Linked DNA regions of Macaca fascicularis. The protein of the gene in region 1 interacts with the protein of each later gene in a biochemical or structural test. Links are inferred from orthologs where the notes say so. Each region holds a gene or a part of one and is shown in the gene's direction. Other genes may lie near its edges.

What was found.
Region 2: the proteins of RAB11FIP3 (region 1) and ARF6 form a complex in vitro, tested with the Homo sapiens proteins (2 studies listed by BioGRID). The link is inferred for Macaca fascicularis from reciprocal best matches to the Homo sapiens genes RAB11FIP3 and ARF6.
Region 3: the proteins of RAB11FIP3 (region 1) and ARF5 form a complex in vitro, tested with the Homo sapiens proteins (2 studies listed by BioGRID). The link is inferred for Macaca fascicularis from reciprocal best matches to the Homo sapiens genes RAB11FIP3 and ARF5.

The regions. Positions count from the first base shown.
Region 1 is NC_088394.1:1,268,133-1,271,778, forward strand, and holds part of RAB11FIP3 (rab11 family-interacting protein 3), read left to right. Parts: intron 1-2,061; coding exon 2,062-2,143; intron 2,144-2,879; coding exon 2,880-3,017; intron 3,018-3,249; coding exon 3,250-3,405; intron 3,406-3,522; coding exon of another isoform or gene 3,523-3,588; coding exon 3,589-3,646. UniProt on the Homo sapiens protein: Downstream effector molecule for Rab11 GTPase which is involved in endocytic trafficking, cytokinesis and intracellular ciliogenesis by participating in membrane delivery. Recruited by Rab11 to endosomes where it links Rab11 to dynein motor complex.
Region 2 is NC_088381.1:117,824,490-117,828,145, forward strand, and holds the start of ARF6 (ADP-ribosylation factor 6), read left to right. Parts: upstream 1-845; 5' UTR 846-907; intron 908-1,007; 5' UTR 1,008-1,488; coding exon 1,489-2,016; 3' UTR 2,017-3,656. UniProt on the Homo sapiens protein: GTP-binding protein involved in protein trafficking that regulates endocytic recycling and cytoskeleton remodeling. GTP-bound form plays an important role in the transport of multiple palmitoylated proteins form the Golgi to the plasma membrane.
Region 3 is NC_088377.1:169,261,952-169,265,697, forward strand, and holds the start of ARF5 (ADP-ribosylation factor 5), read left to right. Parts: upstream 1-1,161; 5' UTR 1,162-1,250; coding exon 1,251-1,317; intron 1,318-1,835; coding exon 1,836-1,916; intron 1,917-2,240; coding exon 2,241-2,350; intron 2,351-2,815; coding exon 2,816-2,887; intron 2,888-3,697; coding exon 3,698-3,746.

The DNA.
Region 1 (3,646 bases):
CCGGGGTTTGCATCTCGGGGCAGCCACGCAGGCGACACGTACCGGGGTTTGCATCTCGGGGCAGCCACGCAGGCGACACGTACCGGGGTTTGCATCTCGGGGCAGCCACGCAGGCGACACGTACCGGGGTTTGCATCTCGGGGCAGCCACGCAGGCGACACGTACCGGGGTTTGCATCTCGGGGCAGCCACGCAGGCGACACGTACCGGGGTTTGCATCTTGGTACATGAAGGCTCAGAAGTGGGTAGCACCAGGAACTGTGGAAGTTGGGTGAAGGCAAGGCTCACACAGGAGGGTCCCCCCCCACATACAGCTGGGTCACACCCATCCCCACCCTAGAGGAGGAGTCTGGACTGCAGAGCACCAACACACACCGGAGTGACACCAGTGAGTGCCCTTGTCCTCCTGACGAACGCCTGTGGCCAAGGGTCTGACCAGCCCCAGACAAGTCCCTGGGAGCGCGCCTGTCCTGGGCACCCCGTGGCCTCCCTGGTGGTGCAGAGGCCAGCAGGTGCTCTTGGGAAGGGGTTGCATCTGCTTTGCCCCTGGTCTCAATCATCAGTTCTGCAAAGCAAGAGCAAGTCCCCTCCTGGGTAGAGGACACCTGAAGCCCTTCCCGCCCAGCCCTGTGCTTTTCCATCTTATACCCTCCTGGGTAGAGGACACTTGAAGCCCTTCCCGCCCAGCCCTGTGCTTTTCCATCTTATACCCTCCTGGGTAGAGGACACCTGAAGCCCTTCCCGCCCAGCCCTGTGCTTTTCCATCTTATACCCTCCTGGGTAGAGGACACTTGAAGCCCTTCCCGCCCAGCCCTGTGCTGCCCCTGGGTTTCCATCTTACACCAAATTCTGGGTGTGGGTGCAGGTTAGGTTGAATTAGAAGGGATGGCAGGGTAACAGGATAGTGAGGACAACTGGATTATGGAGAAGATCCAGGGTTCCTTGGAGAAATGGCCAGTTCTGAGGCTGCGACGGGAAAAGGCAGGCTGAGCCTGCAGCAGTGTGTAGTATCTGAAAATGAGGAAGTGCTTACACTAAACCCCCCCCTGCCATGAGCACAGACACAGGGTATGTCAGAGGGACACGGGCCAGCTGAAGGAGTTGCCAGACGCCAAAGCTGGAACAGTTCAAGTAACAAACTCATAGTGATAGCATTGGATTACAATCCAAAACATAAAGTTCATGAGTCCATCGTGACACAAATAAATGACTATTAATAAACAGAGAAGAGGGCCGGGTGCGGTGGCTCACACCTGTAACCGCAGCACTTTGGGAGGCTGAGGTGGGTGGATCACCTGAAGTCAGGAGTTCAAGACCAGCCTGGCCAACATGGCAAAATCCCGTCTCTACTGAAAATACAAAAATTAGTCAGGCGTGATGGTGGGCGCCTGTAATCCCAGCTACTCAGGAGGCTGAGGCAGGAGAATTGCTTGAACCCCAGGAGGTGGAGGTTGCAGTGAGCCAAGATTGCGCCACTGCACTCCAGCCTGGTGACAGAGTGAGACTCCTCCTCAAAAAAAATAAAATAAATAAAATAAAAAATAAGGCCGGGCACGGTGGCTCACGCCTGTAATCCCAGCACTTTGGGAGGCCGAGACGGGCGGATCATGAGGTCAGGAGATCAAGACCATCCTGGCTAACACGGTGAAACCCCATCTCTAATAAAAATACAAAAAAAAAAATAGCCGGGTGTGGTGGCGGGCGCCTGTAGTCCCAGCTACATGGGAGGCTGAGGCAGGAGAATGGCGTGAACCCGGGAGGCGGAGCTTGCAGTGAGCCGAGATTGCGCCACTGAACTCCAGCCTGGGCGACAGAGCGAGACTCCGTCTCAAAATAAATAAATAAATACAATAAAATAATAAAAAATAAAATCCTTCAAAGATTACAGAAAAGCTCTGCCCGGAGCACTTGGGTGGGCACCTAAGGACTGGCCCTGGTCATTTGGGGGCGTCTGTGTGTCACAGGGCAGCCCCAGCAGGGTTTCCCTGAGACACGGGGCGCCCTGGTCCTGCAGAGGCACATGCTTCCCAGAGTGAGTTTCATATTTGCTCTCGTGTCCCAGGCTACAGCAACTGGACGAGGAGAACAGTGAGCTCCGGTCCTGCACGCCCTGTCTGAAGGCCAACATTGAGCGCCTGGAGGAGGTGAGCTGCCTACATCCTGGAGCTGTGGCTAGTGGGCCCAGCCCGTGCCCTGCCTGTGGGGCAGCCGAGGTAGCCCTGAGCTCTGTGCTGAGCAGGATGCTGTGCTGTGTGTGAGGGAACAGGGCCAGCTCAGGGCCCAGGCCACTGGAAGGCACCGGACCTGAAGGCACTGTTCCACCCACAGGAGCAGGGCCCAGAGGCTCACTCCTAGATGGACCCAGGGCTCTGAATCTGGGAAGTGTCCTCCAAGGGGAAGGCATCAGCCAGCCACTCACGCCCCGACCCCTGCAGACGTGGAGGCAGAGGCTGCATGTGGGGTTCCCACACCCCAGCTCATCACTGTGAGACCTCCCTCCCCCCACCTCACCAGCTGTGCTCTGGGAAGCTCCCAGGAAGGATATTCTCAGAGCACTTGGGCCCTGGCTCCCGTGAACCAGAGGAGCCCGGCTGGAGCTGCCCACAGCCACTGAGTCAGGTCCTGTCCACACAAAGGTCCTTCCTGCCCCTCATGAGAAATGGCCCTCGTGGCCTGTGTGTGTGAGGCGCCCAGAGGCAGGTGGCCTTGACCTCCACTGAGAGGCAAGAAGGCTCAGACCCAGCCCTGTCGCGCTCCAACACGGGGGCTACCATGCTGCTGTTTGGGAGACTCAGAGACTGGAGGGACAGACGACCGGGGCAAGCTGCATGCACAGGTGGGAGGGCAACGCACATCCAGGGCAGGTGTCCACCCCTGCAGGAGAAGCAGAAGCTGTTGGATGAGATAGAGTCGCTGACGTTGCGGCTCAGCGAAGAGCAGGAGAACAAGAGGAGGATGGGGGACAGGCTGAGTCACGAGAGGCACCAGTTCCAGAGGGACAAGGAGGCCACACAGGAGGTGAGCTGGCACCCACCCTGCCCCATGCCAGTCCTGCCCCCAGCCTGCCCCAGGGGAAGCCTTTGTTTCCTAAGATGCTAGCTTTTGGCTGTGAGTTTTGGACATAGCTGCTGGTGTGTGTCGTCTTCCCGAGAGACGGCCAGATCAACCCTGAGGTTCTACAGCCAAGTGATGGCTGATGGTGTCCCCTGGGAGCCCAGGCCCCCCGGCTCACCCAGCGGTTGCCCTGCAGCTGATCGAGGACCTCCGAAAGCAGCTGGAGCACCTGCAGCTCCTGAAGCTGGAAGCTGAGCAGCGGCGGGGCCGCAGCAGCAGCATGGGCCTGCAGGAGTACCACAGCCGCGCCCGGGAGAGCGAGCTGGAGCAGGAGGTCCGCAGGCTGAAGCAGGTGGGCAGGCCTGGGCCTCCCTCCCTCACATTCCTGCAGAATGTTCCACAAGGCTGGTTGGGAAGGTGGGGACATGGAGGGTCAGCATCTGAGCTGGAGGCCTTTTTCCCTGGGCAGTCCTTGTCCCTGCTCAGCCATCTGCAGGGGCCACAGCCCAGTAGTGATGTTGCTGTGCCCTCCCAGGACAACCGCAACCTTAAGGAGCAGAACGAGGAGCTGAACGGGCAGATCATTACCCTCA
Region 2 (3,656 bases), on another chromosome or scaffold:
AAAGAATGGGTAGGTGGGTGAGAAGCTACTACTAACCATATAAAATAAAGTGATATTTAAAGATGAACAGATGTCGCATTCTAAAAAGGTGAAAACGCGGCAAGGCACAGGAACTCTTGATAAATACTGCAGTTTTTAAGAAACATGGGCTGGTCTTGACGAGACCTATAGGCAGACAGGGCTCAAACATTCAAAAGAGCTAGAGTAAACTCAACTCCCCGAAAGCGCTGCACTGACTGGCAGATTCCACACGAGACACTGGCCTCCCACGTGTCTTTCAGAAAACACACAAAATTCAAGGGATAAAGAAAGCCAAGAAGGGGATGAGAAAAAGGAAAAAAAAAAAAAAAAGCGAACAGAGCTTCTCTGGGAAGTTGAGGGTGCGCGGAGAGTGCGCGAAGGCTGGGGCGGGCGGAGGGAACTCGCACAGCATCTGGCGGGCACCGAGGTCTGGGAACAGGCCTGGAGGCAGCTCTGTTCGTGGAGAAAGTGGGCTGCCCGTGGGCCCCACCCTGTGGAGCCCCCCCAGTAGATCTGTCCCTTGGTTCGGGTGGGCAGGGGAGGGCAGAGCGCAGAAGAGAAAAACAGGGAACGAGACGCTAGAAGAGCCACAGGTGGGCGCCGGTCAGAGTCCGAGGTTGCAGGTCTCTGGGCCAACCGCACCTGCGGGCCCTCCGAGACGCCGTAGCCCCGCCCCTCCGGCGCGTGGCGCCCATGACGCTAGGCGCGCGGGCCGCTCTCCTTACAGAGGTCGCTCTTGTCCGAACGGTCGGCCTCTGCTGCGCCTGCGTGGTTGGGAGGGGAAGTGAGGCGGTTTCCTCGGCGCCTTTTCCGGCAGCGGCGGCGGCAGAACTGGGAGGAGGAGTTGGAGGCCGGAGGGAGCCCGCGCTCGGGGCGGCGGCTGGAGGTAACCCCCTGCACCGAGCTGGAAAGGCGGGCCACCTCTGTCTTCACTCCTCTCTGGATCTCTGGCGGTAACTCCCCTCTCCCTCTCTGTTTCTCTGCAGGCAGCGTACCGAGTTCCCGCGAGGATCCATGACCTGACGGGGCCCCGGAGTCGTGCTGCCTCTCGGGTGTCCTGGGTCGGTGGTGAGCCCAGTGTTTGCAGGCCGGCTGGCGGGCCGGAGGGCCGCATTCTCCCTCGGGGTGAGAGGAAGGCGGAGGAGCGGGAACCGCGGCGGCGCTCGCGCGGCGCCTGCGGGGGGAAGGGCAGTTCCGGGCCGGGCCGCGCCTCAGCAGGGCGGCGGCTCCCGGCGCAGACTCAGGGCCCGGGTGGCAGCGGCGAGTGGAGGAATCAAGTTGTGCGGTCGGTGATGCCCGAGTGAGCGGCAGTCCTGGGCCTCTGCCCTTAGGAGGCACCTCCCACGCAGGCCGCAAAGGCGCCTTCGCGGCCGGGAGGCTTCGTTTCGGTTTCGCGGCGGCGGCGGCGTTGTTGGCTGACGGGACCCGGGACACCTGAATGCCCCCGGCCCCGGCTCCTCCGACGCGATGGGGAAGGTGCTATCCAAAATCTTCGGGAACAAGGAAATGCGGATCCTCATGTTGGGCCTGGACGCGGCCGGCAAGACAACAATCCTGTACAAGTTGAAGCTGGGCCAGTCGGTGACCACCATTCCCACTGTGGGTTTCAACGTGGAGACGGTGACTTACAAAAATGTCAAGTTCAACGTATGGGATGTGGGCGGCCAGGACAAGATCCGGCCGCTCTGGCGGCATTACTACACTGGGACCCAAGGTCTGATCTTCGTAGTGGACTGCGCCGACCGCGACCGCATCGATGAGGCTCGCCAGGAGCTGCACCGCATTATCAATGACCGGGAGATGAGGGACGCCATAATCCTCATCTTCGCCAACAAGCAGGACCTGCCTGATGCCATGAAACCCCACGAGATCCAGGAGAAACTGGGCCTGACCCGGATTCGGGACAGGAACTGGTATGTGCAGCCCTCCTGTGCCACCTCAGGGGACGGACTCTATGAGGGGCTCACATGGTTAACCTCTAACTACAAATCTTAATGAGCATTCTCCACCCATCCCCTGGAAGGAGAGAAATCAAAAACCCATTCATAGGATTATCGCCACCATCACCTCTTTCAATTGCCACTTTCTCTTCTTTTGAATTTGAACTCTGGAGTTACTGTTCTACAGTTTGGGGGGAGGGGGCTTGGGGGTTTTCTCTTTTGTTTGTTTCTCTTCTTCCCTTTTTTTTTTTTTTTTTGGCTTTGCATTAGGATGCTCTGATCTGACATTTGACATGAACACAAAGTTGCTAGATGCTCTTATTGACTTCCAGCAGATGGGATGGGGGAAATACAGCAGTTCCTGGTAAAGTCCTTTGTAATAATAGTTTGATTTTTTTATTTCGAGAGAATCTTTCATTTTCCTATGTATGCTTTTTTCCTTTTTTGCCCAGTTTCCTTATCACTTGCTGTAGATGGCTTATTTTGCATTCATGCAGACTATGTTGCAAGTCTGTTTCATCTAGTAAACTGAAAATTATTGCTTAATCAAACTGCCGTTTGTCTTTTATACTTAAGGCCTTTCCCCCCTTCCTTATGAGTTCTAACTTAGTAATTTCAAATGTGACCTTTTATATCTAAGACCAGTATAGTAAACTTAGCCCACAGTGGCGAGTAATGAGTAATATCATTGTAATATGTTCCAGTTGCACCTCAGTATGTTAAACAGGTAATGTAAGAGGTTCTCTGAAATGTCAGCAAATAAGTTCTGAAACATACATCATGCATGAGTAGGAATAAAACCCAAGTTCCCCACAAGGTAGCTAACTTAACGCTGCATAAAAATATGAAAGTGTAACCCATGAAGGACACTTTTTTTTTCCACTGCAAAGTTAGTCACTTTGCTGTTTTCCCTCTTTTTTAAACTTTAAAAATAGACTCCAGGAATTGGAGCAATAATGGTGTATACCACACACAGATTAAACATTTGTAGATATTTTAAGTGACTTTTGGGCAAAACTGGAATGTATACTTTGACCTTGTTTCAAACGCCTGAGACCAGTAACTTAAAAATTACTAAAAGGTTTACTTTGTTCATTAATAAAGCATTTAGCAATTCAAATTATATGCACCTTTTACCTAGTTGAAAAAAATACACATTCCTGTTTTCACATTATAGCAACTGATAAAGCTGAAGCTATAAGTCATTTTTATAGATGAGTGATCCACATCTCCATCAATTAGAACACTGGAAAAGATGTTTTATAAAAAAGGTATTTAATTTTGTTTGTAGGATTAACTCATGCAAATAATGAAGATATCCTGTTGGTTCAATAGTACACTGTCTCCTTTAAGGAAGGAAGCGTGATGAATGAATGATGTGTAGACTTGAGGGATGACTATTAAAGGGGACGTAGGATGAAGAGAAAGAACCTACAGATGACAATGAATGTAAACTTATTTTTCTTCATATGTAAGCAGTGTGCTCGCTGGTGATATCCAGATCCTAACAAGATTACTTGGTTAGCTGGTTAGGACCTGTAACTGGATTGCGACCACTATGATAATATTTTGAACCAAATGTTAATGCTTGATGCAGAATTGTAAAGCAGCATCTGGTTCCTATATAACCTTAAGGATTAATTTTAGTGATCCTCAAGGAATTAAATAGGGAATTTCAGAAATGTAGACTGCAAA
Region 3 (3,746 bases), on another chromosome or scaffold:
CTCAAGAAATGGCAGAATTAAGATTTGAACTAAAGCCTGAAACCACGTGCTGGCATGTGGTGGGTGCACAGTAAATATCTGCTGAAAAAGCAAATGAATGAATGAAGGGTTTTTTATTCCCAGCTCAGTTTACCTCGAGTCCATAAACAATTGATCCTAGAAGCCCACTGGGAACCCAGAGTAGGCATAACACCTGCCCTTGCTCCATTGGGAATCTATCAGTCCAGTTCAACTGAACAAGCATTTGTTAGGCCTATATTAAATGCATGGCATTGAGCCAGTCTCCACCGCAGAAGAATTTCATTCCTATTTTGCTATTCTCCTCTCAGATGCTAAAATGAGGCAGGGAAATGACATGTGAAGCTCTTTGGGTCTAGGGAGTCAAGATCCTCACAAAATCCTGAATGGGTGTGCAAGAATAAGCCAGGTCCACCAGTCTGTGGCAAAATGAGGCCCTTCAGCAAAGCGGCCAGCGCCTGGACTGAGAGGCGGGGCCCGCAGGGCGATCTAAGCGAAGGTGGACTTCAACAGCCCAGGAGTGGGTCTGCGACCACGCCGCCCAAGGCCGGGAATCTTACACTGGTTCCGCTGATTGGGAATTACGAAGTAGGCGTTTTGAGGAACCATGGAAGCTAGCTAGCACTTGGGCACCTACCCCTACCTCCGGCGCACTCTTCAAACGACCACCTCCTACGCGCAAGATCCTCAGTGGAAGATGAGGCGGTAAAGGGAGGACCAAGACCCCTAAGCGCATCTTCCGCTCCCCAAAGGAGAGTGGTGCGCACGTTCAGTGCTACTGGTTCCCAAGAGCTAAAACCGGAGCCCTAGCGGCCTGGACGCCACAAACCAAAGCCCAGCGGCCGGCCACTGAAAATGGGGGCAGAGGCCGATGCGGAGCGATGAAGCCTTTCCTCAGCCGCGCTCGGGCTGCCGGTTTGGCGGCCATAGGCCTGACAGGCACATTGGAGACCCAGACCCGTTCCCAAATAAGGGCAGCGCGGGACCCAGGCCAGAGGCGGCTACTCGCGGAGCTTCGGCTTCCCCAGCAGCCAGGCCCGGGGTGGGGCGGGGCCCAGAGCCGGGGGCGGGGCCCGGGTGGGGGCGGGCCCGCGGTGACGTCGGGAGGGCAGCGACGCGCGGAGGCGGTGGCGGAGCCTCCTCCTGCTGCTGCTGCGCCCCATCCCCCCGCGGCCGGCCAGTTCCAGCCCGCACCCCGCGTCGGTGCCCGCGCCCCCTCCCCGGGCCCCGCCATGGGCCTCACCGTGTCCGCGCTCTTTTCGCGGATCTTCGGGAAGAAGCAGATGCGGATTCTCATGGGTGAGGCAGATCGAGCGCGCGGCCCGGACCGGGGCGCCGGCCCCGGCGCAGCCCTTCCGCCCCCGCGTCCCTCCAGCCCCGCTCACCTGGGGCTCTGGCCCCGAGTCACCCACCTCCTAACGCCCCGGGGCCTCAGCTCTCGGGCGGGTCCCGGTCTGCAGCGCCGACCCCGGGGCCTGACACCCGGAGCTGCGGGCCTGGGTGGGGTGAAGCTCCCTCCGCCCCTGCCCGGCTGATAAGAAGGGAGGATTCCGCCCTTGGAGACGACTTTTAAAAGGAGCGCGGCCTACCCCCCGTGCCCCTTGCATCCCAGCCCTTTCCCGCGCCGCGCCCTCTTTGGAGTTGGCTCACGCCACCCAACTGCCCTCCAGGCCCCGAAGGTAGATAACGACGCGCACCTGGAGGCGCTCCCGCTCTCCGCCCCCGTCACCATCAGCTGTTGTGGCCTCTTCATTTTCCCTGGTCTCTAGGGGGCTCCCTCGCTCCCATCTCCATCCCTGTGCCCCTCTCCGTTGCAGTTGGCTTGGATGCGGCTGGCAAGACCACAATCCTGTACAAACTGAAGTTGGGGGAGATTGTCACCACCATCCCAACCATAGGTGAGCCCGGGGACGAAGCAGGGAGCGGGAGCGCCGCGGCGGGCCCTCTCGGGGTCTGCTCCCAGTTCTGCCACTTTTCTGGAGCTGACCCTGACACCAGATACAGCTATTTGAGAAGTGGGTCAGGGTATCTCTACGTGGATACCGGAGGCGGGGTGGATGTGACCTAGCCCCGCCCTGTTGACCGGCAGTTCTGGGGTTCTGTTCCCCTGGGCCTTGATCATTGCCTTCTGGTTTTGTGTCCCTGCTGAGATCTAAGTAGTTTCAGTGAGTTCCCTCCTTTCAGGAGTTTTTCTCATATTTTTTTTTCCCAATTATCTGCAGGCTTCAATGTAGAAACAGTGGAATATAAGAACATCTGTTTCACAGTCTGGGACGTGGGAGGCCAGGACAAGATTCGGCCTCTGTGGCGGCACTACTTCCAGAACACTCAGGTGGAGTGTTGGGAGGGGACTCTAACCCCACGGGAAAAGGTGTTAGGGCTGGGAGAACAGAATTGTTGGCCTGGGCTGGGCCCCCAGGCCAAGGAGAAAACCCTTCCCCGCTTCTCCCCCCTCTGTTTGGCTACCCTCTACTCACTCTTCAGAGCTCACCTTAGTCTTCACCAGCTTGAACTTCTCTTTAGAAGCAGGATTCTGGGGCCAGGCTGCCTGATTTAGCCCTCATCACATGTCTTTATTTCCTTGCACTTCTTTAGATAAACTACTACTTCTTTGCGGTGGGGTCTCTAGTTTGTGCTGGGACTTCTGTAGAGCTTCTATGGAGTTCTGTAAACTTCTGTAGCGTTTACTAGATGAGAAGGATTGACACAATTACAGACGGCAAGAGAAGAGAAAGGGCCACACTACAGTATGTCCCAGGCAGGAGTGATTGCTTCTCCTTTCTTCCTTCTTGCCCAGGGCCTCATCTTTGTGGTGGACAGTAATGACCGGGAGCGGGTCCAAGAATCTGCTGATGAACTCCAGAAGATGGTAAGTACCCAGAGCCCTGGGAACTGAACCCTCAGGTTGGGGACAGAGTGATCTCTCTAGTGCTATAGAAGTCAGGGAGCCCCCAACAAGCATTGAAGACCAGAAATACAAGTTTTTCTTTATGGACAGATACATTGTGTATCTCACCGTTTTGGATGGGACTGACTTTCTGTGCATTCTCGTGTCTTTTTTTTTTTTTTTTTTTGAGATGGTGTTTTGCTCTTGTTGCCCAGGCTGGAGTGCAAAGGCACAATCTCGGCTCAACCTCTGCCTCCCGGGTTCAAGCAATTCTCCTGCCTCAGCCTCCCGAGTAGCTGGGATTATGGGCGCCTTCTGCCATGCCCAGCTAATTTTTGTATTTTTAGCTGAGATAGGGTTTCACCATGTTGGCCGGGCTGGTCTCGAACTCCCGACCTCAGGTGATCCACCTGCCCCAGCCTCCCAAAGTGCTGGGATTACAGGCATGAGCCACCGCGCCCAGCTGCATTCTCATGTCTTTACATCTGAGTCTGAGAAGTTGCAGGGGAAATGGGACTTATATGTGGTAAAGAGAAACATTTTACATTCTTGCCTTTTCCATTTGGAAATGTTGTCATTTTGCCTAGGCAAGTACTCAAATTAGGAAAAGGTCTTTCATTTCTGGACTTATGGCTCAGGTCACCTCAAGCGCATTTATAACTATGTCTTGTCTTCAGTGGCAGACTACACAATATTTTTTTTTCCAATCAAGATCCTAGGAGGTAGAAAGGGAATTCCCCATACAGTAAAGAAGACGCAGCCTGGGTCCCATCTTCTCTTCTCCCCTCTCAGCTGCAGGAGGACGAGCTGCGGGATGCAGTGCTGCTGGTATTTGCCAACA